Struthio camelus: one gene and its partners. The protein of the gene in region 1 purifies or fractionates together with the protein of each later gene. This does not show direct contact. Links are inferred from orthologs where the notes say so. Each region holds a gene or a part of one and is shown in the gene's direction. Other genes may lie near its edges. The genes, in order: HDAC1, ZNF609, EHMT1 and GSE1.

The links.
Region 2: the proteins of HDAC1 (region 1) and ZNF609 purify together in Homo sapiens (co-immunoprecipitation; 4 studies listed by BioGRID and IntAct, with this or other methods). This does not show direct contact. The link is inferred for Struthio camelus from reciprocal best matches to the Homo sapiens genes HDAC1 and ZNF609.
Region 3: the proteins of HDAC1 (region 1) and EHMT1 purify together in Homo sapiens (affinity purification with mass spectrometry; 4 studies listed by BioGRID and IntAct, counting the BioPlex papers as one, with this or other methods). This does not show direct contact. The link is inferred for Struthio camelus from reciprocal best matches to the Homo sapiens genes HDAC1 and EHMT1.
Region 4: the proteins of HDAC1 (region 1) and GSE1 purify together in Homo sapiens (co-immunoprecipitation; 7 studies listed by BioGRID and IntAct, counting the BioPlex papers as one, with this or other methods). This does not show direct contact. The link is inferred for Struthio camelus from reciprocal best matches to the Homo sapiens genes HDAC1 and GSE1.

The regions. Positions count from the first base shown.
Region 1 is NC_090964.1:8,597,788-8,605,539, forward strand, and holds the start of HDAC1 (histone deacetylase 1), read left to right. Parts: upstream 1-4,416; 5' UTR 4,417-4,521; coding exon 4,522-4,570; intron 4,571-7,752. Other genes in the region: tyrosine-protein kinase Lck, read left to right, coding at 365-544, 1,466-1,542, 1,634-1,787, 1,982-2,113, 2,439-2,641. UniProt on the Homo sapiens protein: Histone deacetylase that catalyzes the deacetylation of lysine residues on the N-terminal part of the core histones (H2A, H2B, H3 and H4).
Region 2 is NC_090953.1:25,567,625-25,575,202, forward strand, and holds the start of ZNF609 (zinc finger protein 609), read left to right. Parts: upstream 1-4,536; 5' UTR 4,537-4,659; intron 4,660-7,578. UniProt on the Homo sapiens protein: Transcription factor, which activates RAG1, and possibly RAG2, transcription. Through the regulation of RAG1/2 expression, may regulate thymocyte maturation.
Region 3 is NC_090961.1:11,457,264-11,464,716, reverse strand, and holds the start of EHMT1 (histone-lysine N-methyltransferase EHMT1), read left to right. Parts: upstream 1-4,316; 5' UTR 4,317-4,475; coding exon 4,476-4,538; intron 4,539-7,453. UniProt on the Homo sapiens protein: Histone methyltransferase that specifically mono- and dimethylates 'Lys-9' of histone H3 (H3K9me1 and H3K9me2, respectively) in euchromatin.
Region 4 is NC_090951.1:3,438,862-3,446,659, forward strand, and holds the start of GSE1 (genetic suppressor element 1), read left to right. Parts: upstream 1-4,652; coding exon 4,653-6,602; intron 6,603-7,798.

The DNA.
Region 1 (7,752 bases):
TGCTGGCTAAAAGCCACATGTAAAATCTCTGCCTGCTGGCTCAAAATGCAGCTGGGGGTGAGCCCTAGCTGGCCTTCGTGGTCCCCAGTGTCTCTGGGACGGCGGGGCTTTAGCCAGTCCTTGCAGTCTCCATCATCTCTGGGATGACGGGACATAGCCGCCCTTTGCGATTCCCAGCATCTCTCGCTCGAGCGGTTTCGGGCTCGAAACCCGAATCCCCGAGCTGGGATGCTCCAGCTGGACAGGCAGGCGCCCACCCGTGATTACCGCCTGGGAGCCCCGTGCTGGCGCCCGGCCCCTCCCGGCCCTGCCCCGCCGCGGGGGTCCCTCTGCCCCCGTCACGCGCCGCCCCCTCTCTCCGCAGGCTTCTACAACGGCCACACCAAGGTGGCCGTCAAAAGCCTGAAGCAGGGCAGCATGTCGCCCAGCGCCTTCCTGGCGGAGGCCAACCTCATGAAGAACCTGCAGCACTCGCGGCTGGTGCGGCTCTACGCGGTGGTGACGAAGGAGCCCATCTACATCATCACCGAGTACATGGAGAAAGGTGGGGGGGGGGTGCAGGAGCCGCCGGCTGCTGCCCGGCACGGTGCTGTGCAAACGGGTGAGGCGGGGGCGCCGGGGGTGTCTGCGCCGTGCCGAGCCCCGTGGCCAGCGAGGAAGCGTGCCGTGGCGGTTCGCTCGGGCTCTGGCCGCCGCGTCCCCCGGGGCCGGCGGGATGGGGTGCGTCCCTGCCCGCTCCCCGCAGGGACGGGGCGGTGGGCACGCGCCGGGAGGTGGCCAGGGTTTGGGAGGTGCCGGGGCGCTTCCCTGTCCCATCCCTGTCCCCAGCGAGCGCAGAGCGGGAAGCCCCAGCCCGGCTCCCCGCTCGCGCCTGCCCGCGGTGGCTGCTGCGGCCGGGGCCGCCTTTCGCCTCCTCGCGCTGATAAAAGCCCGGCCAACGGAGCACGGCCCTCCGGCCCGCCGGGAGCGGATCCGGCGCCGGCGTTATTCCTGGCAGCGGGCAGGACCTTGCGGACGCGGCGCTCTCCCGTCCCCGCCGCTCCCCGCCTGCCTTTCCGGGCGCTGCGAGCTTCCCAGCAGTGGTGCGGCCGAGGCCAGGGCCCGAGGGCAAGGACAGGCTCCTCGCCGGGTCCAGGGCGTCCTCCGGGAGCTGGCAGTCCTCCCGGAGGAAACGCGCCGGATCTGCCGTGCGCGGCTGTGACAAAGGGTCTCGAGCCGGAGGCTGCCAGCCCGGGGCCATCCGGCCCGTCCCCAGCCCTGCATCGCAGCAAGGACCCCCGGGCTGCGGGACGGCCGCAGCTCCTCGCTCCCCGGGCACGGGGCGTTCCCAGCGCCAGGCTCCGCGGCGGCGGGGGACCACGCCGCACGGCGCGGGGACGGCGCGGCTGCTGGCACCTTCACCCCGGCGCGCAGCCCCAGCGGCTGCCGGCGAGGCTGCCGCTGAGACCTGCCGGCTTCGTTGCAGGCAGCCTGGTGGATTTCCTCAAGACCTCGGAAGGAGTCAAGCTGACCATCAACAAACTGCTGGACATGGCCGCGCAGGTGAGGGGGGGACGGCGCCGCCGGGGCTGGGCTGGGAGCTGCCCCGCTCCGGCTGCCGACCTGAACCCCTCGCGATTGCTGCGCACCGCAGATCGCCGAAGGCATGGCCTTCATCGAGGCCAAGAACTACATCCACCGCGACCTGCGGGCCGCCAACATCCTCGTCTCGGAGACCCTGTGCTGCAAAATCGCCGACTTCGGGCTGGCCCGCCTCATCGAGGACAACGAGTACACGGCTCGCGAGGGTGCGTCGGCCGCGGCAGAGCCCCCGGGCCGCGGCGGCGGCGGCACCCGCCTGCCGCCCAGCCCCGCTTTCGGCGGGATCGCAGCCCTATCTGGCGGCGAGCGCGGGAACGGGCCGGGGGCCGTCACCCCTGGCTGCGCAGGGGGGCTGTTCCCAGCTCAGCCGTAACGTTTTCTCCTCCCCTCTCTGTCTCAGGGGCTAAATTCCCCATTAAGTGGACGGCGCCGGAGGCTATTAATTACGGGACGTTCACTATTAAGTCGGACGTCTGGTCCTTCGGCATCCTGCTGACGGAGATCATCACCTACGGCCGGATCCCGTATCCAGGTCAGGATTTCCCGGCAGCTGCGGCACTCCGCAGCGGGGCTGGGGCTGGGGCGCACGCGCGCGCCCGGCGTGTACATGCACTGCCGCACGCACGCACGCTCGCTCCCGCGCCGCCCCGTCTGGCTCGCTCCCCTTCCCCTCGCCAGCCCGCGACGGTTTTGACCTCTTTCCAACGCACGTTGCCAGCCCCAAAGACATCGGGGGGTTCAGACACGGTTTTGGGGGGGGGGGGGAGGAAGCTTTCCCTGGGATTTGCAAATATAAGGTGCCGCCTGGGACGTGCTGGGGCGACCCAAATCCAGTGGCACACGCGCTGCCCTCCCAGGGATGACGAACCCGGAGGTGATACAGAACCTGGAGCGCGGCTACCGCATGCCGCAGCCGGACAACTGCCCGCAGGAGCTGTACGAACTGATGAGGCAGTGCTGGAAGGAGCGGCCCGAGGACCGGCCCACCTTCGAGTACATGAAGAGCGTGCTGGAGGACTTCTTCACGGCCACCGAGGGCCAGTACCAGCAGCAGCCGTGAGGGACCCGCGCAGCGGCCTCCGCGGGTGCTCCCCGTCCGCTGGGTCCCCACGCATCACCCCGGGCATTTGCAAACACGGGCCGGACCTCACCGCTCTCGCAGGCAACAGTAAAGACTTGATGCGTTTCTGGAGCAGCGGATTTTTTTCCCCCCAGAAGAAGAGGGACAAGCTGACACACGACTCCTCCAGGCAGGCGGCAGAGGCGAGGACCGCCGGGCTGGGCGGCTCGAGCAGAGCGCGTGCGGGACTCCGGCCGCCGCGCACCCCCGTGCCCGCGACACGGTCCCCGCACTCGCCCCGGTGCCGATGCAACCTCCACCCGGCACCGCGCGGCTCCTCCCGAGGCTGCCTGCGAGCCGAGCTGCCCCCGGCCCGGGCAGGCGCGGAAAATACGCTGTGCACTTTCACATCCACCGCCCCGGACCTCGCCTCCGCGTTTACCCCAAGGCTGAAGGCAGGTCCCCATTGCAGCTGCAGGAGCCGCCGTGCGGGCGGCTGTCCCGGAGAGCCCCGTAGCCGTCCCGGCCCCACGCCGGAGCCCTCCGGGCAGTGCTTGTGCGCAGCGGCGGCGGTCGGCAGCATACCCGCGCCGAAGGGGTTCGCACGGCTCTGCCAGGCATTTGGGGACACGGCACCCCTGCCCTCCCCGCGGCCCCTCCAAGCAGCCGGGCTCCCTGGGGCGATGCCGCAGAGGTGAAACCTCGTCTGCCGGAGCCGGGGTCCCTCCAAGCCTTTCTGCTGCATGGCTGCGCCCTGGCAGGCACCCTGCATGCACCCGGTCCCCAACTCCTCTGGATTTGGTCTAGCAGGAGGAGGGAGCAGTGGACGGAGCAGAGAGCAGGGATCCAGACCCCGGAGGGCCGGAGAGGGGCAGGGGGAGCTGCACGGAGGCGAGGGCCGGAGCCGGGAAGGTTTCCCGGTTCCTGCAGCCCCGGGGACTCCGCGTGCTTCCATCGAAGGCACTTCCAGCAGAAACTCTCCCCGTTTAGGAAAGGGCCATCCGGACGGACCAGACGCTGGCTGTAGGATCCCCTTTCTCCCCACGTTTTTAATCGCAAGACTAAAAATCCTACTGCTGTCTTATTTTGGGGAAATAAAGGCCTTTGAACCACAGCTGGCTCCTGCCCCTGGAGGCAGCTGCGGGGAGAGGGAGGCCAGCGGAGGATGGCCGGGGGGGAGGTGGGCGCAGGGGACCCTCGGGGACCGGCACCTCGCGCTGCTTGTCTCACCCCCAGCCCTGGGGTGCTGGGGGGGGACGTGAGGCCCTACTTGTGCCATCCCTATCCCCTTTGGCCTCCTCACACCCCCCTCAGCCCCCTTTGGCCCTCTCTGGCCCCTTCATGTCCTCCCAGCCCTCTTTGGCCCCCTTTGGCTCCCTCATGCCCCCCACCAGCCCCCTTTGGCCCTCTCTGGCCCCCTCACTCCCGCCCCAGGCAGGCCCTGCCTGAGGCCTGGCCCCCGACGCCCCCCCCCTCCGCCCTAGGAATGGTCCAGTCCCACCTGGCGCTCCCCCTCCTCGCGAATGGTTCCGCCCCACCCACCTGGATCCCCCTCCCCGTTAGCCTGACGACGATCTCCCCCCCACTCTCCGGTGATGGTACAGTCCTATCCCGTCCCCCCCCACTCGGCCTCGCCTCCGCCGGCAATGGTACGATCCAAGCACCCTGGCGCTCGACCTAGCCTGCTAGCTCCCCCGCGCCCGCTCTCACTCGCCGCCGGGACTTTCTATTGGTCGGCTGGAGATAGGGGGCAGGAAGCCCCTCCCCGATTGGCGGGCTGCCCAGCGGGGGCGGGGGCACGGGGAGGCGGTGGGGCGACTGGCCCCGGGGCGGGTTCGGTTGCGCGGCGGTAGGGTCTGTCGCTGTCGGGAGGCAGGAAAATGGCGCTCACGCAGGGGACCAAGCGGAAAGTCTGTTATTACTACGACGGTGAGGGGCTGCGGGGCGCCTCCGGGGGCCGCTGCGGGGCAGCGCCGCGCCGGGGGGGGGCGGCGGCGGGCGGAAGCCTGACGGGCCGTCGGGGGGGGGGGAGGGGAGGTGGCGCGGGGGAGGGGGTAATGGGGTACTGGGGACTTGGGGGGCTGAATTGGGGAGAATGGGGGACCTGGGGGCTGCAGTGGGGGATGGGCAATGGAGGCCGTGGGGGCCTGGGGGCTGCAGTGGGGGATGGGTAATGGGAGCTGTGGGGGGCCGTGGGGGGCTGGGAGTTGCAGTGGGGGATGGGTAATGGGGGCTGTGGGGGCCTGGGGGCTGCAGTGGGGGATGGGTAATGGGGGCTGTGGGGGGCCGTGGGGGGCTGGGAGTTGCAGTGGGGGATGGGTAATGGGGGCTGTGGGGGGCCGTGGGGGGCTGGGAGCTGCAGTGGGGGATGGGCAATGGGGGCTGTGGGGGGTCGTAGGGGCCTGGGGGCTGCAGTGGGGGATGGGTAATGGGGGCTGTGGGGGGCCGTGGGGGGCTGGGAGTTGCAGTGGGGGATGGGTAATGGGGGCCCTGGGGGAGGTGGGGCATAGGGGACTGCAGTGGGGGATGAGTAATGGGGCCCCTGGGGGCCGTGGGGGGCTGGGAGCTGCAGTGGGGGATGGGTAATGGGGGCTGTGGGGGGCCGTGGGGGGCTGGGAGCTGCAGTGGGGGATGGGCAATGGGGGCTGTGGGGGGTCGTAGGGGCCTGGGGGCTGCAGTGGGGGATGGGTAATGGGGCCCCTGGGGGCCGTGGGGGGCTGGGAGCTGCAGTGGGGGATGGGCAATGGGGGCTGTGGGGGGTCGTAGGGGCCTGGGGGCTGCAGTGGGGGATGGGTAATGGGGGCTGTGGGGGGCCGTGGGGGGCTGGGAGTTGCAGTGGGGGATGGGTAATGGGGGCCCTGGGGGAGGTGGGGCATAGGGGACTGCAGTGGGGGATGAGTAATGGGGCCCCTGGGGGCCGTGGGGGGCTGGGAGCTGCAGTGGGGGATGGGTAATGGGGGCCCTGGGGGAGGTGGGGCATAGGAGACTGCAGTGGGGGATGGGTAATGGTAGCCCTGGGGGCTGCAGTGGGGAATAGAGAGATGGGTAATGGAGGCATGAGGGTTGTGGAGAATGGGTAGTGGGGACATGGGGGGCTGGGAGTTGTACTAGGGGGATGGATAATGGGGGGACTTAGGGAGCTGGAGGCTGCACTGGGGCGTGGGTGGGGTGGTGGGGGACACTGAGAGACATATAAGGGATGGGGACTTCACTAGGGGATGGGGCGCAGGGGTTAAGGCATGGATCGGGGTAGGATGTATGGGGAACTGCAGTGAGGGGAGGCGCAGGGGAGAGTGGAAGGCAGGAGAAGGGTTGGGGAAGACTGAGGGTCACAGGAAGGATGTGGAAAGCGTGGCAGGGGTGTAGGGAGTGCTGGGGAGCCTGCAAGGGATGTAGGGTGCATGGCAGGGGGGTAGGGAGCAGTAGGGAGCCTCCAAGGGAGTGGGGTTCATGAGAGGGATATGGGGAAACACTGGAGGGTGGAAGGGAAGGATATGGGGCAAGGGAAAGATAGGGAGCAGCACTGGTGGAAAGTTGGAGGAGGTTGGTGGAATAACTTGGGGAGGAATGGAAAACTTGGAGGTGGGGTGGAAATAGGAAAGGCTCTGAAGGGGCCAAGATGGGGGAGAAGGGCAAGGGGCTGAGAGAGGCTCTGGGAGCTATGCCAAGATACTGAGGAAGGTTTATGGGGGGATGGGGAGCACTCAGGGAGATGCTGGGGGGGGGAGGAAAGGGTTAAGAGCCTCCGTGAGCCATGGTAAGCAGAACAGACGCTCCTGAAGCTCCATTTGGATCACTATCAAGCAAGGGACAAAAATGAAGACATTGGCAACCAGACCAATTGCATGGCTATTTCTAGGGAGTTCCTGTGTCTAGGAGTATTGTTTAATTCTGGCTCTAAACTTGGCTGGATTGTAGACTGTGTTTTTGCTTTGCTTTGTTTTCCTTTTACAAGGATAGGGAAACACTGCTTTTTGGCTATATATTTGGGGTAGCAAAGTAATAGGGTATAAGAGCTGGCCAGATCTCAGCCAAGGTAACTTGTGTAGCTTCCTCACTCTTCCCCTATAGTCTGTGAAAGAAATCACAGTTGCGTTGTCTCTGTGCATGTTCACAGCTGCCTCTCCTTTAGCAGAGGGAGTCTGTGCACGTTCACAGCTGCCTTGTCTCTGTGCACGTTCGCAACTGCCCCCCCCCTTTGGAGGGGGGAACTGGTGTTTCGGTAGTGGGTGAGCTGAGTTTTACTGTAGTCTGTGATCACTCTATGTGAAAGGTATTGTGCAAGTCTCCTCTATTTCATCATGGTTTTTAGTCTCTGAAGTCAAATAAAAACTACTTCTCCATGGTTTTTTTCTGTGGTAAGTGGATGTGCTCAGTGTTCGTTAAGGCCATAAAGTGAGCTCGCTTAAACTGCTTTATATGTCGGGCATATAGCGAGGGCATTTGCTTTTTCAGAAAAGCAAATCTGAGTGATAGATTTTTAACCTGTAATGATAGCTGCACCAGGTCTCTGACTCAGCCAGAGTCTCCAGGGGAGTGTGACGAGGAAGAGTCTGAATTAGGACTCTCGGTGCAGTGAAACAGTGAGCCTGATTTTTCTGGACCGTCCTTTTCATTCCCAGTGCTGCGTACAACTGATCTCTATGCAATACCCAGCAGATCAAAATACAGTGGGGTACTGGTGCCGCGGGCCCTAAAATGCCGACTTTAAACTTGAAGAATAGTTGCAGGAAGTATCAGAATACTGTACATGCGCAAGTGGCCAGGGCGTTGAAAGAAAACTGTATGTCCAAACTGCTCCTTGTCCTTAGAATATAATGTTTTCTCCAAGAAAACTTGTCAGTTTGTGAACAAGCTAAAACCTTTAGAGTTGCAAGATGGTGTTTTAAACACAGAATAACTAGTCATCGTGCCTTAAAATGCTAAGAGATGATATCCTTGCAGTCTTTATTACATGGTAACGATGTGGGGTTAGCATTAGACACTCTTGTCTATAGCTGACCTCACTAATTTACTCTGCGGTAAAGTTTTAGTACCTTGTTTCCACTGGTCTTTTATGAGGGGCTGGCAAGCATCCACTGTGCGTCCTAGGCTGAGAGTGTGCAAGGAAG
Region 2 (7,578 bases), on another chromosome or scaffold:
AACAGCCACTTCAGTGCTGACCTCTCAGTCTTTGTCCCAAGAGTGCTAGAGCCTAGGAGTGGGGACCAAGACTCTTAATTTGCCTGGTTGCTGAAAATCCAGGACCAGAAGATGGGGACTCCAGAGCATGCTGTCACCTGCTCCTCAAGCTAAACTCCTGATCCACCTAGACATGCATGCCTCTGTTGCAGAAGAAATTGCTGGCAGAAGAAATCTGGAGGGACAAGATTTATTTTTCCTTGTCCTTTTGCCCTCTCCAGGGGCTCCCACACATCCTTCCTCAAGGGCTGTCCCGGCTGTAGATGTGGCTGTCCCTGTCTCGACGTCTCCCCACCGCTGGGCAGGGGAGGCAGTGTGCTCGCTGCTTGCTGTTTTGTACCAAAATCCACGTGGGCTCGTGTTGGCTTCCTCTGGGGCTGCTTAAGCAGCCGTTTGAGTGCTGTCCTGGGATTTTCCCTCCCATAGCTTCCAGCTCTCGGGGGAATGGGAGAACTGAGGCACGAATCATGCAGGGCTGGGAGCTCCAGCGCTGGGGCGCCAGCAGCCGTGGGCGCGCTTGAGCCTGAGCGCAGCTCACAGGTATGTCTGAAGGCGCGTCGGTCAGCCAGTTTTTAATCCATTTAATGCACGTCATGTTGATTTGACGTATTCTAGTTTCTTAATCAAACTGTTAATGTTGTACCCGGTCAAAAGCGTGCTGAGCTCTGAGTGTGCGGAATCGGCGGTTTATCATCCAAACCTGTTGCCTTGTCAAAACACGCTGCCGGAGGGATTTGTTAAAATCATTTCCGAAGGAGCTGTATTGCCCAGCACAAGTTGTATTTTTCTTCTTTAATCCTACATTAATGACATCGTTTACAGTTTTGCCCAGGAACGAACAGACTGACGCACCTACACTTCCCTGGTTTGTTCTGCTTCCTCCTCTAAGTCCTGGCAGCCACAGTAAAGCTGGCTTTCCCACCCTTGGGAACATCATGGCCGGTCTAGGGCATATTGAAAATCAGCATCAAATGTCCTGGAAGCCTTTTAGCCAGGCCTTTAAAAAGGTCGGGGACCTGCCACCTGGCTCTCCATCCCTCCATCAGCCTCGCGGTCCTCCTTGCTTTTTACATTGCCCATCACCTTTCTACAGCTCCGCACGGCAAGGGAGATCCCTCTTGCTCTCCGCGTCTCCCTCCTCTGGCATTCGTCCTGCGGCCGCAGGAGGTAATTATCCGTCTGCTCCTTCGAAGTCTCCCTCTGAGCCACATCGGCCCTGGGGGATGGAGGCCTGCAGGTCCTTGCCCGCTCCTCCTGACCGTTCCTGTCCTCCTGATTGAAAGCTTTCTCCCAAGTGATTTTGCACGTAATTTGCTTCTAGCTTGGTGAAACTGGCCCTTCTGCGGCAGCTGTACCGCTGGCGGGAGATATACTGCAGCCGTGCCTCACCCCGCTGGCCCGTAACGAATGTAGCCGAGCCGCTCGGACATCCTTGCGTTAGGCTGTCCTGCTGGTGCATAAAACTCCCTCCTGCCGCTATGGCACTTTCTGAGTTTGGGATTGCCATAGGTAATGTTGGCAGCTGGTGGGATACCCTGCTCCGGCACGGGCCGTGGGGCCTCGGGGGCAGCGTTCCCCGCCAGGCTGTCCGTCCTGCCCCAGGACAGCCGGTCCCCCGGGGTAGCTCTTTCCCAGGTTTCTGCGATACACAAACATTGAATCTGTGCCGGCGCAGGAACGATTCCTCGTTTTCAGCGTGCTACGGGTGCGTCAGCCATTAACGAATTCCTTCTCTTTATCTCCTTTGGCGTCGTGATCAACTCTAGCGCTGACATCTTGGCCACGTGTTAAATGAATGTTTATGAATTCGTTCTTCTCACCCCTCCTTTTCCTACTGCTTTAAAATCCCTCTGGTCCCTTCTCACCTGCACCTGCCCCCCAAGGCAAAGAAATGGAGCAACGGCCCCCAAAACTGCACCTTTTTACCGCATCCCACTTACATAGCCAGCGCGTTGAGTCTCGCATCTTCCTTGCTTGGTTGCCAAAAAGCCTCTCAAGAAACCCGAGCTCACCTCGTTCAGTAACCTTCTGCAGCCAGCTGTGAGTGTGCACGGGGCACCATCAGGAGTGTTCACCTGCGCTACTGCTGGCTGATTTATGAGATCCTGCTTGCGAAACCTGTTTACGGTACCACGGCGGAGAGATGGCACCGTCCTGGGCTCTAACCCCTTCTTCCTCTGCTCAGGCCAGGAGCATGGACAGGGCACGTGGCTTCATGGGGATCTTCTTTATGGTGTATCTGAATGTCTCACAGGTCAGGCTGTGCAGGCCAGGCCCTTGCACCTCTCCTTTGACCACTTGAATATTAAGCCTCAGTGTTTTGTGGCTTCCAAGCTGAGAACATGACAATGATGGAAAACTCTCCCTGTAGAAAGGGGAGGAAAAAAAAGAAAAGAAAGCAGACGTTGCATGAATGAGCATCCAAAGCACACCGCAGTCGTGCCAGCGCGTTGTCCTTAGTTCTGCCCTCCTGTCCACGTGTGGCCGGTTGCAGCTGGGGATTACGGTGGTGTCCCTAAGCGCTACCTCCACGCTGGTGATGTACAACCACACTATGGCATCTAGCTGACCGGAGAGCACTCCTAGCCATGGAGCAGTGCTCCTCAGGCCACCTAACATCGCTGGCTACATCTCCTATCTAAGCTAACACACATGCTAACTAACCCCTCGAGAGATACCCCTGGACTGAAACCACCTGAGGGGCAGGTCCTGGGCCAGGAATGTCCCTGTGTCTGCCTGATGGTTGCAGTCCTGTGATTGCAGTGCAAAGACAAAGTCCTTGGCCATGCCATGCTCTGGGCCTGTTTGCACGCGCGGCCTGGTCCCTCCGCGGCCGCGGGGGCTCCCAAGTCCCGGCCTTCCGTTCCTTGCAGGTTTGGGTGATGCTTTCCGAGCGCAGAGACCCAACCTTGCTCTGGGGTGAGGATTTACAGGGCTGATCTCCAACGAGATTGTTCTGCCCAATTATACCATAAATAAAACTTCTTAATCCCAACAGGAGAGCTAACCCACAGCAGCGCGTTATCTTCAGAGCAACTTTATACCCAGGCGAGATTTATTGTGTTTCAAGAGCATCAGACTTGCATAAATTAGGCACTGCGCGGCTTACCCTGTCTGAAGGTTTCTGTGCCTCCTGCCCTGCTGTTTGGGTGATTTCTGCAGTGACTCTCAGCGGGGAAATGCTGCTGCACTCGAAGCGGAGTCTCTTTATGGCTGTACGGTTCTATTGTTGTATTCTTTTGGGCAAGCAACATGGCATTTCGGGCTGAGACCCTCTCCTTGCAAAACGCCACCGGCCAAACACTCCAGTACACATCTCAAAACACTCAAAACGCGCATCCTGGGGAGCACGTGGGCCTCGGGCAGATCCTAACGGGGCTGTGCCACCGGGGCGATGGCCAGAGAGGAGGAGCGCGGATGCGAAGGAAGAGAGGCGGATTTGTGGTGGTCCACGCCAGGACCATGCGGCAGGGCTGGGACAGCCCCGCTAGCATGAGCCCAACTCTCCTCCAGGACGGCACGGCTGCTTAGCCTGAGCCTGGACCCAACAGCCCGAGCTGGCGCGGGATGTTCCAGGGGGACTGCTGGCCGCCTGGCGCCGGGCTCTGGGGATGGGAATGGAGGGTGGAGAGGACATGCCACCCCCTGAGGAGGAAGAGGGGACAACCAAAGGGCCAGGGCTTGGGAGCGTTTTCAGGAAGGAGTCACCCAGGAGCCCCGCTCCCTCGGGGCGGCCCCGGCCGGCTCCCTAGGGCAACCGATCCACTTTCCGGGCTTTGCCCCCCACCCCGGGCAGGTCCTGGCGGCGCGGCGCCGTTGCCGGTCCCCCGGCCGCTCCGGCTCCGGCTCCGGCGCCGCTCTCCGCGTTTTGCCGCCGCCGTCGCGCCCCGGGCTTTGGCGCGCGCCCCCTTTGTGCGGCCGCGCCGCGCCCCCCCCGCACCGCACCGGGGCCGCCGCCGCCGCCGGATCCGGCCCGGCCCGTCTCGGCCCAGCCCGCCGCGCCTTTGTCTGCCGGCCCCTCCCGTCCCCTCCCCTCAGGTCATTTCCTCCCCGGCCAGGACCCCTCCACGTGCATATTCATGGCGGGGCGGGCTGGGGCGGGGCGCCGGGGCCCCGCGGGCAGCACGTGGCGCGGCGCCCGGTACCCCCGGCCCGGCGGCGCGCCCCGACCCGCGCCCGGCAGCCGCCGTGCCGCACCGGGCTCCGAGCCCCCGCCATGCGCGCCGCGCCGGCCCCGGCCCCCGGCCTGCCGCCGCCCCGCGCCGCGCCGGGTTTTCCGCCCTGCTGGCGGAGGGCGGCGCGCTCCGGGTTTTGGGCGCGCTCCGCGCTCCGGGTTTTCCGGCGCGCCCAGCGGCGGCTCCGGCTCCGGCTCGGGCTCCGCGCTCCGGGTGCGCCGCGTCCCCGCGGAGGCGAGGCGAGGCGAGGCGAGCCCGGAGCGCGGCGGCCGCGTCCCCCGCGAGGCGCACCCCGGCGCGGCCTGCGCGGAGCGCGGCCCAGCGGCGCGGCGCGGCGGCATGGCGGCCCCGGCGCCCGGCCCCTAGCTGGCGGCGGAGGCGGCGCTGCGAGCCGCGCGGCTCCATGGAGGAGACTTAGGGCAGCCCGGGACGGGAGCGGAGCCGGGTGAGTCTGAGCCCGGGCCGGCCCCGCCGCCGCCGCCGCCCCCCGGGCACCCGCCGCCTCTCGGGGGAGCCGCCCCGGCGGCGGGGGCCGGCGCCTTGCCCGCCCTCCTGCGGGCGGGGGCGCCGCTCGGCCGCGGCCGCGGGGGCGGGGGGCCCCCGCCTGCCGGGACAGCCCTGCGGGGCGGCCGGGGCCGGCGTGCCCCGCGCCCTTCTGCGGCCGTTGGGGCCGGGGCGCCCCCTCGTGCACCCCGCTGTGCGACCGCAGGGCTTGGGGGCCCCTCCGAGCCCCCCCCCGGGGTTAGGGGCAGCCTCTCTGCGACTGCTGGGAGCCGGGGGCCCTCCAGGGAGCCCCCCCTGGGCTTAAGGGCACCCCCTGTGCCACTGCTGGGGTCATCAGGGGACATCTCTGGCGTTTGGGGGCCCCCCCGTGTGATTGTTGGGTGCTGGGGGCCTCTGTGAGCCGCCCCTGGGGTTGAGGGACACCCCTCTGTGTGTCTCTTGGGGGTTGGGGTCCCCCGTGGGACACCCTTGGGGCTTAGGGAGACCCCCTGCCCGACTGTTGACAGTTGGGGGCCCCCACGGGACAGCCCTGGGGCTTAGGGACGCCCCCTGTGCGGCTGCTGGGAGTTGGGGGCCCCCGTGGGACGCCCCCTGTGCGGCTGCTGGGAGTTGGGGGCCCCCGTGGGACGCCCCTGGGGTTTGGATTCTCCGCTGTGACTGTTGGTGTTTGGGGGGGTCTTCTCACTTCCACTGTGGCTGTGGAGCCTGGGGACCCTCTGTGGCAGTTGGGCCTGGGGATCCCCCATGTTCTCCCCTGGAGGCTGTGTAAAAGGGGGATCCCCGAGCGGCCGCAGCACGCGTGGCCGGGGGTGTGCGTGTGTGGGGGGCTCCTGCCACGTCTCTGTGTGGATGGAGGTTGTCGCCTGGCGCGTGGGAGGTCACGGTCCCCTCCCGGTGGGGGCGCGTGGGCTTTCGCAGCCCCCTGGCGTGGCTCCCCTGTGTTGGCGGGGGGTAGGGATCCCCCGCGTTTGAGGGCTCAGAGCCTGGCCCCCCGCGTGAGCAGACCTTGGGGCTGCCCCCCGTGCCGGCGGTGGCCAGGCAGGGTTCGGGAAGGAGGCGTTGAGGGTCAGCGTGAGGGACGGGGCGTCCAGCCAGAGCGTGCGGGGTGCCGCACGTGCCGAGATGGGGAAGGTATAGGGCCAAAACGCCTGAGCTAGCGCCCTTATGTCCTGTCCTGGGGAGGTGGCACGTTGCTGAGGTTTGGGGATGTGGTTACCCGAGCCTGGGAGTGTGCCGCTTGGTCAGGAGCTCCCGCGCTTGGCGAGCGAGTCCTTGCTCCAGCCCTGACTCTCAGGTCCTCCTGGATGCACTTCTGCGCCTCAGGCACGGGTCTGTTTGCCTTGCGCAGGCAGGCTGTAAAGGACTTGGGGAGCCGGAGGAGCGCCTGGTGGGCGGCAGTGCTACCGCGCCATGCCTTTCCTCTGTTTGCAGTGCAGGTCTGAGCACAGCTTTCTGAAGAGACTGATTTCCTTCTCCCCCTTTGGGCCTGCCGAGGAGGAAGAACATCTGACCTGGGCGTACATGTGACACAGGCGGCAGCCCAGAGCAGTTTCGGGTTCCCAGCGCTGGGCGTGCGGGGGGGGGTGGTGGTGGGAGGACGCAGCCCCTTTAGGGGATTTTCTCAGCACAAATCACAGAGGATTAAACTCTCGTAAGAACATCTACCCAAACACAAGTTGTCTCTGTTGAGGGGGGGAAAAAAAATCCTGTCTGTGAGTGCAGTTCCTTGTGGATGCTGGAGGCGCTGGTGCGCGGAGGTCAGAGTCCTAGGCGAGCACTTGAGCTCTCCTTAACTGCCCTTAATTAGGGGCACTTTGGAGTGGGCCTGTTGGGCCTCTGTTGTGACGGCGAGACTGTTGATGAAGCAGAAATAGCTATCCTTGGAGCCTGCTTGGGAGGATGTGTTAGGCTGCCAGGACGGCTCGTGGATGCGAAAGGGGCAGGGGAATGCCGCGGGAGCGCCGCCGAGCAGCCGGAAGGTGTGTTTGACTGCAGTTGTATCCCCCTTGCGCACAGGAGTGGGGCAGGGCCCCGGGGTAGCCTGGCCCCCGGCCAGGGGAAGTGTTGAGATTGGACTGTAACTCGTGCAAGGCTTATCTCGGCAGCTCCCTGCTCCCGAGTGTGGCTTCTTCTCAGTCCTCGGCTGCAACAGGAAAGGCGAGCCTCTCCGGATGACACTAGTTTGGGCTGAAGTAAGTAACAAAGTGGCTGTGCTGGTAACGCGTCCAATAAATGCTCTGGTTTTATCTGAGTGAAACGGAGGGGTGAGAACTGCTGCTCCGGAGATAAAGCGGCTCTCTCTCCAGCCCATTGTGTACACAGGGAAGGTCACAGGTTCAAGTCTTGTCTGTGCGACTTGGCTCTCTTCCATCTCCCAGCAGGCCCTTTTTTTTTTCTTCCCCCTATTCTGGGTGGACCCTTTCCATTGGATGAGGTGTTATACAGATAGATTTTTTTTCTTTTTTTCTCTTTTCTTTTTTTTCTTTTTTTTTCTTTTTTTGGTGACGCACAATGAAGAGCTCATGGGCCCGTTTTTCCCTCCAGAAGAATAAGGATGCTGATGTCGGGGCTGACTTTCATACTCCAGCACAGCCTGTCTTCGTTCATCATGCCTTGCGAGAAGGGTGGAAGCGATGCTTGTGCTCGCAGCCTCTCTCGTCTGGACATCCTCAGGAAAACCTATTTCCCTGCTTTGTGTGATGACTCTGGCATAGGATTATGCTGCACATTTCTAGCTCTTTGTTGGCAGTACGTAGCCACGCACAGCACTCAAAAAAAATCCAGTCAGCTTTTTTATTGATTAGCTTTTTGAACAGAATAATTTATAATTTATTATTTTGAAGCCATTTTGGTCCTGAAA
Region 3 (7,453 bases), on another chromosome or scaffold:
TGTAAGCAGCCATTTTTACTGCCTGCTTTCCTGGCAGAAGACTACTAAAAAGCAGTCTAAAGGCTTTGCGTGACGCGCTGAAATGCTGCCGATTCCCACCCCATCGACCATTCCAGAATAAAGCAATAAAACATTTGTGTGTGGAGCAAATTGCTAGTGTGGTTAAAGCAATAAGCTTCATCCCTGTTTTCGAAGATGGGGTATGCACGTGATGTGTTTAGTGCCCTTCTCAAGTCAGGCTGTAAGTGTATGGTAGAAGCTCTTAATATATGGTAGCTGAATGAAGGGGAGAAATGGCGTTTTTAGCTTTCCAAAATAGAAAGAGCCGTGGTTACTCTAAGTTAAAGCTGAAGGAGTTTATAATTGGGAACTGTTAGGAATACAGTATGCTCTGAATTACAGCTGTCTGTCCAATATGACTCTAAATAAAGTTCTAGGATTGCCCTGTAAATGAAATACTCAACATGCATTCTTATCAAAACATGGCAACATCTTCCAGAGAGCTTACATCTCAACATCTGTCACAACAGCATCAGTTTTTTTGGTTTTGGGGTTTGTGTGTGTGTGTGTGTGTGTGTGTGTATGTGTGTATGTGTGTATTTGTGATGTACTCAACACAGTGTCCCCGGGAACATTTTATGTTTCCTATTCACTAAAAGCAGTTTTAAGCTTTGCTGAGGAAACGGGGGGAGGGAGGGAAGTGGCTTGAAAACTTTGGAGAGAAAAAAGGAGGTTTCAAAAGGTGAAGAAAGCTGTAATTCCAGAAGCGCGCGTCCATGACTGACCGCTCCTTCAGAACTGTTACCTGAGCCTGTGAGGGGCGAAGCGGACGTTTCGGCTCGCCCTCTCTCGGAGGAGGAGGCGGAGGACGCTCAGAGTATCCCAGGACTGGGTGTTCGGCTTAGGATGCGTTCAGAGTCATCTTTGAGAAGGGAAGGAGGCGTTCTGAGAGCCTGCAGCCGAGCTGAGGAGTAGCTCTTAGCGATGGCAAAGCGAACCGGCTTTCCGGCAGAAGCGCTCGTGTTTGTGCTGGAAGCCGCTTTACCTGCGACGGCCCGGCCTGGCCTGTCGTGCTGTTGTGAGCGCTTCAGAGGAGCCTTGACAGGGAGCCTCGGCTTGGCGCGACTGTACGGGCTGAAGCGAGAGCTTGACGGAAATCAGAGAAAAGTCCTGTATTTTGGAGAGCTAAATACTGTTCTTCCTATAGAAGACAGATCTCCCCTTCCCTCCCACTTTGCCTCTCTGTGAGGAGGGAGCTGTGAAAATGACATGTGTAATGGTGTAATTAAGCAAAAGCCCTTAGGAGCCCCGTGTCCTTTGTGAAGGAAGGTTGTTGTTCTGCTGTCTTCCTCTTTAAATAAAAAGTGAGATTTTTAAAAGGCTGTTCAAGCCTCGAATCATGGAACTGAGGCCAGAGAGCCCAGAGCTTAAAATTATCCTGTAGTTTTATGGGCCCCGGTAGAACACTTTTTTTTTTTTAAAAAAAAAAAAAAAAGGCGACTGCCAGACAGTCCGCAGCAGAGACGATTCGATGGTGAGATTGCTAGAGAGTTAAATAAAACCTTCATGAGGTAGAGGCCCGTTGTAATTTTACTCAACTGCGAAGGAAAGAAAATCCACCTCAGCCATTTTGGAGAAGGATTTCACTTTCCCGGAGCGGGGAATCAGTTCAGCTTGGTGCTGTGTAGGTGAAGTCCCAGAGCAGTTAGATCGTTCAACCCTCCTAATCCCTCCGCTTGCGGCTTCGCGCTGCCGGTGCACGTGCGGGAGGCAGGGGCAGAAGAGGGAGGGCTCCTTCTCGCGTCCTGCGCCCCTGCCCCCGCAGTGCCCGGCCTCCACAAAATGGCTGCAGGGCGGCGAGGAAATGGCGGCCCTGGCACAGCCTCCCTGGGCCCTGGGTGGCAGAGGGAGCCCAGCAGTGCGGGCTGCCCCGTGCTGGGCCTGGAGGAGGCCCAGTGGGGAGGTGGGAGCTGGTGAGGCCGGCCTCGGGCGCGGGGTGGTGGTGGTGGGGGGGGGCCTTGGCCACCCCAGGCACGTGGTGGGGCCGCTTCAGGACACGGCCGCTGAGTGGCGGCGCGATGCCGTGGGCAGCATGTGTAATGCTGCAGAGGCTGTCTGGAAGCTTCTGTTTCTTTTTGGATGCCATAAATTTAAGAGCTCGGCTGTTTTTCCTCAGTAATAGCACACAAGCAGCCTCCGCTCCTCCAGAGCGTCGCTGTGCGGAGCTCCTGTAGGGCGCTGATCAATCGCTTTGCTCGAGTTGATTGTGGAGGCATCCACGATATCCTGCCTTTTTTTTTTTTCTTTTTAACCAGTGTTTAGTGCTTTCCAAGATGAAAAACGTCTCTAGCAGCTTCTGCTCGCAGTGTATTTTCACCCTCACCAGTAAAAGCATTTTTCCAGGGTTGACATGCTGCATTTATGAGTGAACCCCGTGGCGTGGGTTTGGATCATCATTATATCTCGGTCTGAAAATGGGCGTGGACCACATGAGTTCAGTGACTCAGCGTTTGTTAGTATCTTTGTTTCTGTACTTTTAGTGAAAGTTTAGTAACTTCATGCTGCCCAAGGCGGGTAACACTTCAGCTGGTTTAAAGCCCTCTTTGGTTTGAGCCACAGTGATACAGTGGATGATACAACTTCTGCCAATGTAGTCAGGTTTTGTTGTTTTCATTTTGGGCTTTTTGGCTTTGTCTTAAATGAGTTACCTCTACAACTTTTGGTGATTGATGCAAAGGCCAAAAAAAATCTCGTTATCTATATTATTACTTAGATTGACATCAAGCAAAAAAACCAGTGGGTGGCAGAGAGATCCTGGCTTTATTCTGTCACCTTGGATATTCATCCTTTATGAATTTTAGTCATGTCAATTCAGCCTTGTGTGTTTTAACTGTTTAATAGTGAAACTCCTCCAAAGCGTTTAGAGGCAAACAATGTCGTTTTAGCGGAGGCAGCCCCATGGACGGTTCTTTTGCTCTTTTAACTATTGCCACTTTGCAAACGTGCATCGACGTGGTGGTGAAATAAATACTTGGTCTGTAGGAAACGTGGCTTGTTGGCGTTTCTGGTGTGTGATAATGTGACAGCGTGGCACGCTCTTGCGGTGCTTTAGTAAAGGAGAGGAGGGGATGGGTAGAGAGAAGGCTTCATACTTGTGCTGAAGCCTTGAATTTTGAGTGCCTGCTTTCGTGCAACGTGTAAGGCAAATAAAATCATTGGGCTCCTCAAAACCTCACTATGGATTTTTCTGGGTTCCCCCCCCCCCAACGGCGCAGGCTGTTCCTTTTCCCTCCCCCTCCTCCTTCTCCTCTCGGTCCATTGTGAGGCAACACACGGAGCCAGTGTTCGTTTTAACGTTTCAGCTTCAGGAGAATTGTCTTCCCCACTCCTATTTTATGGAAAATTGTTTTTTGCTTTGGTCAAGAACAGGCGGGTGGGACTACAGCCCATTTCAGATTTCCTCTTCCTTCTTCCCTCTTCTCTTCTCCTCTGTTCTCTGCTCCCCTCCCCCTTCTCCTGGGGGAGGTTCTCCAGAGAAATATTAAACACGGAGAAACCCTCGGACTTTTGCATTGTGATAAATGTCATTTGTGCATTTGAATCCGTTCCAGCTGATCTCTGCTTACAGATGTTCCTGCAAGTTGCTCAGGCAGTTTTACTGGGAGCTTTAGCAGATATGAAGGTTGCCAAGAGTTTGTGCTTAATTGTCAAATTGAACAGAGACAAACTACTTTTATTTTGAAGCTAAAATTTCTTCTTTGCTCTTGCTGGCTGGGCCAGCTGTATCATATGGTTTGACATAGGCTGAGCTGAGAGCTACTGCACCTAGTAGTGTACTATCAGTTCTTTTTTTTTTTCTTTTTAATAATTGTATTTGTGATATGCTTTTAAGGTTGGTTATACCAGGTCATGTTATACTTTAAGTCCCTGAAGTGAAAAATAGCACCCCTTCAGCTCAGCATATCGGATCTCAAATTCACTTTCAGTTGGACACTGTACACTTAACCAGTTTAACCCGTATGCTTTTATCCCACTATTCAAAGGTCGGGCGCTTTATTAAGCAAAATATAATTAGTGCAGGGGTGTCCTCAAACTTCGATGCTATTGTGCAGCATCTCTCTCTTTTTCTTTCCCCTTTTCTTTTTTTTTGTAGGCAAGGGCTACTCTTGGAGGCCACTGAAACAGAACACATTATTACATGGTTTTAAAAGGCTTTTGCAGGCTACTGATCAGTTTTAGGCCTGGCACTAGGTCAGACCGTTGACAGATTATCTTTATTAACTGTGCGTTGCACCAGGAGGACCGAGTATCCCTGCGATGCCTTAGATAATAGTTGCTCCAATGGAAGCCCTTAAGCCTGCAGGTTCTCTGTGAAATGGCTGCAGCTTGGAGTGAACAGTGAAATGGTCTCCACTGGGCATGCTCACTCTGTAGAGGGAGCTTTTATCACATGAGCAGAAACTGAATCACTGTTCATGAGGATCTGGAATATGCAACTCTTTGAGTCTTCATCAAAAGAAGACCACAGATGTCTGCAGGTACAGTAACTTGTAGTGTCCATGTTCCATATGTCATAAATAGCAGATTCCCTCAGGTTGTGGCCGCAGACAGACTGTTGTCAGGTAGGAAAGGAGAAACCTCTGAGAGGAGGAAGACAGTTCAGATAATCATGGCTGGATTTTTTTATTTATTTTTTGCCCTATGCAAGAGAGAACAGCACAGCAGAAATGTGGGTATTGCATATTGATGCAGCATGCAGGGTAGTGTGCTGGGGCGTCTTTTGAAGAAGCGATTTACAGAATAACCTGGACAGGCGCAGTTGCTTTTCAGACTTTGACTTCTGATCTTTTGTGTTGCTATTAGTGTTACTTTGTTTTGCTCAATGGACTTGTATATAGTTCTGAATCTGAAATTACCTGTCTCTGGGGAAGTTTAGGCTTATTTCCACGCATTAAGTCAGTCTTTTATTTGTCTTCTGTGTTGGGGAGGGTGTGGAGGTTTGTCTGGATTTTTTATTTTTTTACCTTTTTTTTTTTTTTTTAAAGCATGAAGTCTTTTGAATATTTGGGTCTACCAGGAGCCCTCCCTGCTTCCGTTTCTTATAAGCAAGAAGAGAAAACCCTGGGGTCTTTAAACTGTTTGAAGACTTGAACTTTCAAAGGGAAGGAGAGGGCCTGTGGACACATTTCACTTGCTTGCTAGAAACAATTTTGACAGCCTTCGGTTATGTCAAGCAAGCCTACAGTTTAGTTTTTAGGGTGGAAGGAAGAGCGAGCATGATTTCATCAGGAAGAAAGGATCTTTTTGGGGGGGGTGGTGGTTTTGATTTTTTGGCCGTTTGTTTGTTTGTTTGATGGGGGCTTTATTTATTTATTTTCTAAGTAGCCTGCAATCCAAGAGAGCAGCTGATTAAAATGAAACGTCCGTGGTTGATTTCATGGCAGAAGGCCCATGTCAGCAGTTTGTTTAAAAGGTTGCCTAAAATTCATACCCCTGGCCCTGCCATGTGTTTTTTGTTTTGTTTTTTGTTTTGTTTTTTAAGTTGTTTGTGTTATATGCACACACAGCTGTGTTGCCTGCTACAGCGACCGGTCTGACTTGGAGCATACACCCTGTTCTTGACCTCCGCTGTTGTCTCTTAAGGATTGCAGGTTCCCAGAGCTGGGGGTGATCCTGGCACCCTCTGCCAGCCTGCAAAACACTGGCCCCAAACCCTGTCGCTTGCTGGGTTTGAGGAAGGCCCTTAAAACTTCCATATGTACCTACGTATTAAATTTTTAAATGACCAGTGAAATGTGAAGATAGCCTTTAAAGGGCTAGAGAGCTTACAGGACGGTCTGTGATATCTAATCTAAATATCTGTCATGTCTGCAGGAGACTATAGATACGCTAATTATTTGTCATCTAGTAAATGCATATTAAAGGCAAATAACATCAAAAGAAGTCATAAGGAGATGAAGTAGTTTATTTTTTAAAAGTGAAGAGCAGAGGCCTTGAAATATTACTGGATGAGCTCCTATCCAGGAAAAAATGTGTGTGGGGTTTGCTGAAGGCTAAGCAAACAAGCAACCCCCTAAAATGCTGAGGCAACACTTAGGGGTGCTAACAAGTGCATGTACGTAATATGGTGACCATGATGAGGCTTGTGTGATAGCCTGCCTAAAACACTACATAGTCACTTATTGCTGCCTGAAATTCCTTCCGAGAGCGTTGGCAAAATGATGCTGAAACGCCTGACCTACTTTTTGGAGGGAAGAGGCAAGCGTAAGGTTTGAAATTCCATGTTGCTTTTCAGCAGGGGTTAATAGTCCTAAATGTGGGCTTTTGGGTCTTATTTTTTTTCCTTCGCGTACTAAACTGACTTTTATGTTACTTTAACTCCAGTGCTAAACAGCTTCAGCCAGCCAGTGAAAATAATTGTGAGTATTTACTAGCCCAGGCAGACGCTTTCGTCGCCTGTCCTTGGCAGTCGCGTGTGAAAAAAAGCAATGCTGTTGTACTTCCCTTCAAAAGCTATTCTTCCTCTTCCCAAGCAAACGATGGGCTAGCGAACGGCCCCTCAGAGCCGTGTACCTCGCTGTTGTGTCTTGTTCATGACAGAGGGAGGTTGCTGGTGTGTGGGACATGTTTTAGGACCCCTCACGGGCTTTAAAAATCGCCCGGGCCCCCTGTTAACAGAAGCGCTGGCCATTGCAGCTCATGCTGGCTTGCAGCTAGGCATGTGAGCGGTGGTTATTGCTGCTAATGAGGCCCCCAGCTTATAAAAACAAGCCGTCTGCTGGCTCCCCGGCCTAGTAACGAGGAGGCTGGGCTGTCACGGCGCCGGATCGGGCCCGCCGCGCGAGATCCCGTTTTGCATCCGGGTGTCCGGCCGAGCGGCAGCGCTGGGGCCGTGGCTGCCTTGCAGTGTTAGTACTTTTCCTCCTTCTCCCGGCGTTTGAAAGTGTATCTCGTTACGCTGGTATGCCGCAGGAGTGCCAATGCCAGTGTGACCTCTCCCGTGTGGTGCCATCTCCTAGTGAAAAAGGATCATGTGCTTTTTTTTTTGTACAATGGCAGGGAACTATTTCATTCAGGTAAACAAGGACATTTAAGGAGCTTCGCTATCATGGCCAGCTGGTGTGGATGTTTGGGGGAGGGATGATTTGATTCCTGGTGCTTTTTTTGTTGTTGTTGCTCGTCTCTCTCTCTTTTTTTTTTTTTCCCCCTTCCTTAAAATATTCTTTCTCCTTTTCCTGTTCCTGGATCTTAGAGAGGTCAAGGAATCACTGCAGAGACTTCTGACCACCTGGACTGAGGGAATTATCTTGCCTTTCGATTCAGGCTAAAGACTTGGGGCTCTGGCAGTGTGCATTAGCTGCTCTTCAGGCTTGAAGGACCATATGCTCCTGTAGTGAAATGCACTGGCAGTTATTTAGAAGCAAATCTCGAATTTATAACCCTTAACTACCAT
Region 4 (7,798 bases), on another chromosome or scaffold:
GTTGCCATCGCTCTGCCTGGCTGCCCGGCCCCCTCCCAGACTCAGCTCCCTTTGCGTGGGCTGGTGCGCGCGTGAAATGCTCTTGTTTTCCAGTGAAAGCTTTCCCTCTGTTTTTTTGTTCTCTAAATTTCTTCTGTTTTTGGCAGGGGGAACTCCATCGTGCACCCCTCTCTGTGTGTGTGTTTTTTTTTTTTGGGGGGGGGATGAGAAAACGCTGACAAAGAGGAGAAAAGCTGTCTGGGCTTTTCCAGGAGAATGGTTGAAAAAAACTTTAATTAAAAAACTCATTTGAGACCCTCCAAAAATTGTCAGCCAAAGGATACGTTCTGAACGTTGCCATGAACCAGCCCTATCTTTCCCATCTGAAAAACAAGCACAAAACGAGTGCATAGATCAGCCTTTAAAAAAAAAAAAAAAAAAAAAGCACAGCTTGCAGAGAAAAATACAGCTGTTTCGCACTGAGTTCAAGGTCGCCGAACTGCAGGCCAGTCCCCGCGGTCCCGGCGCTGCCAGCCTCGTGCCGGGCAGGGGACGGGGCGGCGCTCGGGCCGCCGGCCCGTGCCTCGCTTTCGGGGGGCGAGAGGATAACCCGCCGCGGCCGTGCAATTGCTTCCTGTGCCGCGCCGACTTGGGGTTTGGGGCCCGGCCACGCGACCCCCCTGGCAGAGCTTCCCCGGCCCGCGAGCGGGTTTGGCAGCAAATCATTTCACATAGCGGAGCAGCAAAATGCTGGGGGGGGGGGTGCGCGGCGAGCATGCAGGCTCGCAGCCCCCCAGCCAGCGCCGCTCGAGCAGGCGTGAGCTGAGAAACGGGCTCTGTCCCCGGTGCCCCTCGCACGGTCCGACCCCCAGCTGCTGGGGACAGATTTCCGGGTGGGATTTGCAGGAAAAGGCCAGACGCCAGCGACGGGCGGCAGAGCAGGGCACTGGGGGGGAGCCGGCCGCGCGCAGGGCTGTTCCCGGTGGAGCTCTCCCTCCGGCAGCATCGCTCCGGGGAGCCGCGGGGACGCAGGGCGGCGGGAGCCCGCGCGCACCTAGGGGCGCCTGCTCTGCCTGCCCAGCTAATGCACGGCTGGGAGCTGACTCCTCGGAGAAACATTCCCTTTTCGAGCAGCAGACCCCGGGGAGGATTATCCCGAGGGGGTGGCTGGGGGAACAGTCACGCTGTCTCGAAGGCACTGTGTTGTTTGAAATGCTCTTTAAGGCACTTGATGACTCACAGCAACAGCTGGAAAGAATAAGCAGTTGGTAATTTCCATATTAACCTCCCGAGCCTGGAGATGGGGGATCTGCAGCATGTGCCCATTTGCCAGAGTGCAGCGCTGGTGAGGACTGCTGTGTGTGGATGGGACCAGGACTGGGTCCGGGTCTGGGTCTGGGTCTGGGTCCGGGTCCGGGTCCCGGTCCCCAGCTGGGGCTCTGGACTGATGCAATGCCGAGGAGCGCTGTGGGGCTGGGGCTGGCGCTGGGTCTAGCGCAGCCGGGCAGGGTGCGGGAGGCCGTTCGTGCAGCGCCTTGCACAACAGGCTCTGGGCTCGCAGCCCTGATGCAATCGGGTCACGTGGAGGCTCTCCCCTGCCCTCCGAGGGACGCCGGCGGGGTTCGCCGTTGCGCGACGGGTGTTTGGTGCCTGCATTGCAAACCGGAAAGGAGGTTTCAGGTGGGACGGCCAAGGCCGCCTGCCTCCGTTGCAGCGGTTTCGCCCCTGCAGCCGTCCAGCCCGGGGGCGCTCGGTGGAGCGGACCTCGCCGCCGTCCCCAGCCCCCCCAGCTCGCTTTAACGCACCAGTCTGGCGCAGAGGGAGCCGCGGCAGAAAATCCTGCGCTAGGCTCGCCCGGCTCGCCGCGCGCCCCCGGGGGACGCCTTCGCCGCCACGGCATATGTTTTCAGTTCTTGCCGAGGCCGACTTGAGAAACGCGCTCTCCCTCCCAGCCTCTCCGTTGCAAACGACGACCGCAGGGCCGAGGCGGCGCAGAATGATAAATGAGCCGCTCTGTGCAAGCGCAGCCGCGGCCCGGGAAGCCGCCCGGAGGCAGGCTGCGTGCCGGCGGGGAGCAGGGGCCGGCGGCGGTGGGGGGCGAGCCCAGCGGCGGGCCGGCGTTGGGGGCCGGGTGGGGAGGTGGGCTCCAGCGCTGCTGCGTGAACGGGCCGTGCCGCTTCCTCGCCCATCTGCGGAGCAGGCGGGAGAGCATCTGCCGGCCTCTCCGCGAGGGTCTGCTCCAGGCTGGGATGCTCGCGGGGTGCAACCGTGCAGGCTTCGGCTGGCTTCTTCCTGCAGGGACCCCAGCCTCACGCAGCACGGCCTCATCCTGCCGTGACGCACAGCCGGGCCGTGCTGCGGCGGAGGGCAGGGTGATCCCTCGCCTCTCCTTGTTCCCCGAGCCGAGCCGGGGCTTGTGACGGCGGCGGGGAAATCCCAGCCTGTACAGATAGGGCCGGTTCCTTTCTTGCCCTCGCCCTGCTGCCTAATTCTGCTCTTCTGGGAGGGAAAAAAAAAAATCTCGGATTACCACTGTGGTGCATCAAATAGGACTGGAAGGAAACAAGCTGCGTTCCTGGCCGCGACGCGTCCAGGGAAAGGGGCAGCGCCGAGAGGCTCTGAAGCGCTGCCATATGCACCTTTAGAGAACATGTGAGTCATGTCCACTCCAACACGCTCCCAACGCCCTCCGTGCATAGAGCAGCTACAACATCAGGCCTATAAATAAATAAAATACAACGAGGCCCTGCTGTCTTCTGGAAAACCCTGCAAAAGTCCCAGCTCGCCCAAGGTATCGTGTTCTCCGCTTTGTGCGTCTCCCCCCCCTCCCTACCCCCCCCTTTTCTGTCCTGCTGGAGCCATCTGCGTGGAAACTGGATCTCCAGCCCCGGAGAGTCCTTCTGCCCCCTGCTCGCGCTCCAGCTGATGTCACGCAATCTGCTTGATCTCATGGCCAGTTGCTGGGCAGCGCGTTACGCTGTCACCGGCAGCCGAGGACGGAGGTGACATCAAGGGCTGGCTGAGCCCCGCAGGGCCGAGCTGGTGGAGGTCTCGGTCCGGCCGCAGCGCAGTGACACGGTTGACGCGGCCTCACGCGGCGTCTCTGCGCTCGGCCCGGTGTGCCGATGCACGGCTCACGTGTTCGGAGCTCGGTCCCGTAACGCTCACCCCAGCTGAGGGGCCTCTCGCAGCCCCTCTCTCCCTGTGTCCTATCACAATTATTGACTTTGCCTCCTACTTGGCCCTTACATACTTTGGGTTTGATCCTGGAAGGTCCTCAGCACCCTTCAGTGAGACAGGCACATGCTCAGTGCTTTACAAGAACAGGACCGGGCGGGGGTTGGAGCGAACCATGAACTCAAAAATACCATCAGGAGCAGGCTTCCTCCTAAAACGACTGCTTGAAAATATCCTTATGGCTGATAATACCTATTTTTTATTGGGAGACCTCTGCTGAGCCTGTGGGTATGCTGACTGGATGCTTGGGTGGTTAATAAGCCAGGTTTAATTGTGGCTGGACCTCAGCACAGTTTGCACTTCCGCGGTGCCGATTGTCCAAGGACAGCAAAGTGCTTTACAAGCATTAAATCTTATCATAGGCTGCAAGGCAGGTAAGGCTATACAGGGATTATTGCATGCATCGCTGAAATGCGGCCAGCCCTGGCTGGGAACAGATCAGCTATTTACCAGTGAGTGGCAAACCGATGCAGCATTTTAGGACCAAGCGGGAAATAGAATCTGGTATTGAACTGGAACAGCAGCAGGACTTTTAAATGTGAAATAAATCACCGGGGCTGGTATTCGGTCAGGACACTGAGTTAATGTCTGGTGCGCAGCACTGTAAAGGACAGAGACATTATTGGTGTCTTCTGCAAAGCGCCACAGGATCCCTGCTGACCGCGCAGTCCCGGACGCTGCCAGCTGCAGTTGCCTTTTTGTGCTGGTTCAGGGGCAGGGGGTTTGCAAGGGGATGTGCGTGAGGGAGGTCACCCGCCGTGCGTGGGTAGCCCCGCTCGGGGGGCGGGGGGGCTTTGCCAATGCCCCTCGCGGGGTCGGTCTGTCCCCAAGTTCCCCTCGCGGGGTCGGGGGTAAATTCCCCTCGTGGGGTCGGTTGGCACAATCCCCCGCCGCCGTGGGGCCGGTTTGCACAATGCACTCCCCTTCCCACCCCCCTCGCTCCGTGGGGCCGGTCTGTCCCCCCCCCGCCCCCCCCCCACGCTGTGCGCTCCCCTCCCGCCGAGGCTGCCGGAGCCTGGCGGCCGCCTAACCGCAACTGCGGCTCCGTCCCGGCCGGCCGCCTCCCCCCGGGCAGGCGAGCCCGGCGCGGGGGGGGGCCGGGGCCGGGGAGGAGCCGGGCCGGGGGCGCCGGGGCCGCCCGCCGGCGGGGCCAGCGCGGGGCGGCGGCGGCTGCTCGCCTGCTTGCCTGCTCGCTCCGCGCCCGCCGCCGGACCCAAACTTTCTCGCAGCGAACTTTTTCTCTCTCTCTCTATTTTTTTTTTTTCCTTTCTCTCTCTTTTTTTTTTTTCCCTTTTCCTCCGCGGAGGAGCGGGAGGCGGGCGGGGGCGGGCGCGGCGGGGCGGAGAGGCGGGGGGGGGGGGGAGAGAAGCAGCGTTGCAAACCCGCCCCCCGAGCCTGCGTGTCCGGCGGAGCCGCGGGATGAGCCGGGGGCGGCGATGAGCGCGGCGGGGCCGGGGGCGGCGGCGGCGGCGCCGCTCTCCCGCAAGCAGCGGCTGATGGCCGCGCTGGCGGCCGGCGAGGGCGGCGCGGCGGCGGCGGGCGGCCCCGGGGCACCGCAGCCCCCGGCGCCGCCGCTCTGCTGCTTCATCTGCGGCGGCGGCATCAGCCGCGGCAAGGAGCTCAAGCTGCAAGTGCGGCCCCCCCGCGACCACCGGCCCTTCTTCCCCTTCCTGCAGCACCAGGAGCCGGCGCCCGGCGCCCGCGCCGTCTCGGCGGAGGGTTGCGCCCTGGTCTGCGCCGTCTGCCGCTGCTTCCTCGGCGAGCAGTGGGACTCCTTCGAGCGGAGCCGCACGCCCGTGGAGAAGCGCATGTACTGGCTCAAGCGGCCCCACCAGTGCGAGGCGGCGGCGGCGGCGGGGGGGGGCGCCGGGCTGCGGCGGGGGGCGCCGGGCTGGGACCCCGCCGCCGCGCCGCGCCGCGCCGCCGGGGACGGCGAGGAGGAGGAGGAGGGCGAGGAGGAGGAGGAGGAGGAGGAAGAGCCGGCGGCGGGCTCCGAGCTCTCCGAGCTGTCCGACGCCGAGCCGCTGTCGGAGCCCGAGGGGGCGGGCGGCGCGGCGCGGCCCCCCCCGCCACCGCCGCCGCCGCCGCCACCGGGCAAGCGGGGGCTGCCGTGCTGCTCCTCCGAGGACAGCGAGATCAACATCACCAGCGAGGAGGAGGAGGAGGAAGGCGAGCGGCCCGCTTGGGCCGCGCCGGCGGCGGGCACCGTCTGCTACATCTGCGGCAGCCCCCTGTCGCCCGCCTCGCAGCACCGGGTCCACGTGCAGAAGCAGGAGAAGACGTCGCAGGCGCCCTTCTTCCCCTTCCTCTGGCTGCACAGCCCCCCGCCGGGCGCCCAGCCCCTGTCCCCCGCCGGCAGCACCCTGGTGTGCCCCTGCTGCTTCGCCTCCCTCATGCAGCAGTGGCAAAGCTTCGAGCTGGCCAACGTGCCCGTGCTCCAGCGGCTCTACGTGGTGCCCCTCAACGGCGGTGCCGCAGGCATGCCCCCCAAGGGCAGGCGAGGGCTCAAGGAGGACGGGGCAGGCCCAGCCCCGGCGCCCGAGGCCTGCTACCTCTGCGGGGAGGAGTGCGGCAAAGAGGCGAGGCTGGTGGCCGCCAAGATCACCAACGGGAATGCCAAGAGCACCATGCATTTCCCCTTCCTCAGCCTCCTGCCTTGCCCGCCCAGCGCCAAGGGGCTGAACAAGCACTGGGAGGTGAGCAGCTGCCGGAAGTGCTACGGCGTCTTGCAGGACCTGTGGGCCATGTACAGGGCCTGCCACAACGAGGAGCTCATCACCTCGGTGCAGAGCTTCCTGGGGAGGTACCACCAGGTCTTCTCCGCCGGTGACCCCAGCGGCCTGCCCGGGCACCCCGTCATCAAGCCTGGCCCTACATCGGTCTGCTACATCTGCGGGGCCGAGCTGGGAGCCGGCAAGGAGTTCCAGCTCAACGTCAACCCGCCGGGGCGCTTTGGCGAGAAGGAGCCCTTTTTCCCCTTCCTCACGGTCTACCCGCCCGCCCCTCGGGCCAGGCCGGCGGACTCCACGGGGCTCGTGGCCACCTGCGTGCTCTGCTACCACGACCTGCTCGGGCAGTGGCTGCAGCACGAGGGCAGGAATTCCCACCACCCCAGCAGCGCCTGGTCCCGGCAGTACAAAGTGGAGACGTTCGTCTGCTTCTTCTGCCGCCAGGAGAAGAAGCGATGCCTTGGATTAAAAGCGGTGCAAGTTGCCAGGCTCCCTGTGTTCCTCTACACGCTCCGCGTGGCCAACAGCTTGCTGGTGGATGACGGGAAGCAGCTGACCATCGGCGCGTGTGCCGAGTGCGGAGCCGTGGTCCTGGCTGGCAAGACCATGACGCCCCCAGAGCTTCTGGCAGCAGCGCCCCCGGCTCTTCTCCCCAAGGTAAGGCGTTTGGCCCGGGCCCCTTCCCTCTCCTCCCGTCGTTTCCCGGACATGATGATTTTGGCATCAAGTACAATTTAGAGCGGTGCTACAGATGGATGCTCATCTTTTGAGTCGGATCCCTGGGGGCGAATGTTAATAAATGGGGTGCTGTTAGCAAGGAACTTCTGGAGCCATCAAACCGAAAAGGAGTGGAGAGAAATCCTTCCAAGAGGCTCAAGAGAGCCAAGATCTGTCCTGTTGCAAAAACACGTATCTGTATTACTGGCGCCAGCTCTTTTAGAGCCCTGGATAAAGGAGGTGGGGTTGTTTGTGATTCGAGGTGGCCAGAATGGGAAATCCTGATCTTGTACCTCTCTCAATCGTGGATAATAATAGTTGCCAGAGCAGGGGGAAGTCTGACAGGCCCCTGTGCCCTGCCAGCAGCGCTGGCCGGCCTGCCCGCGGCAGACGGGATCCTCGGGAAATTCCTCCGGCCAAAGGAGCGCGGCGCCTCCGCCGTGGAGGAAAGTTCCCAAGTTATCTTTGGTTTTATAAGGCGCCCGAGCGAAACGGTTTCCTTTAGGAGAAACTCGAGTCCTTCCTGCAGCTGGGAAGCTGGTGTGCGGGCTCCCTGAGCCGCTCCGGGCTGCCGTTGTGCGGCTGCGGGAGGGGAGCCCGGGGCAGCTTCCCGCGGCGCCGCCGAGCCTGCCTGAGCCTCTGCTCATCCGAAGCCAGCGATGAGATGTGTCCTCTGGATGCAGGGCTGGGGACCCAGGGACACGGGCTCTCGATTGCTCCGTGCTCCTTATCTGTAGGAGAGAGTAGTTCCTCCTGCCTCCTTCAAGTTGATCCGTATGTTCGAAAAAGCAGAATTTAAAGCGGACAGGTTTAATTTCCTTCAGTTCTATGTGGATGGTCTTGTCCAGACTCAGTGGTCAGTTCAGTGTCACCCGGTCGCGTCTGATTTATGTTACGGGTTATTCTTTGCTGCGCATCCCGGTGCGGACAAGCCCTGAGCTGGGTTACATGGCATGCTTCGAGGCGGGTATGTGGAAAGTCGTACAAAAGAGCAAAGAAAATTTACTCACAGCAAGTTTGTCTTTCTCATGAAACGGGGAAATTACTGCTTTTGTCCCCAGATTTCCGACTGGCAGCGGCGCAGCTCTTGGAGAGCGGATGCTCTGTATCTGCAAAGCAGGCCCCGGACTGGGCTT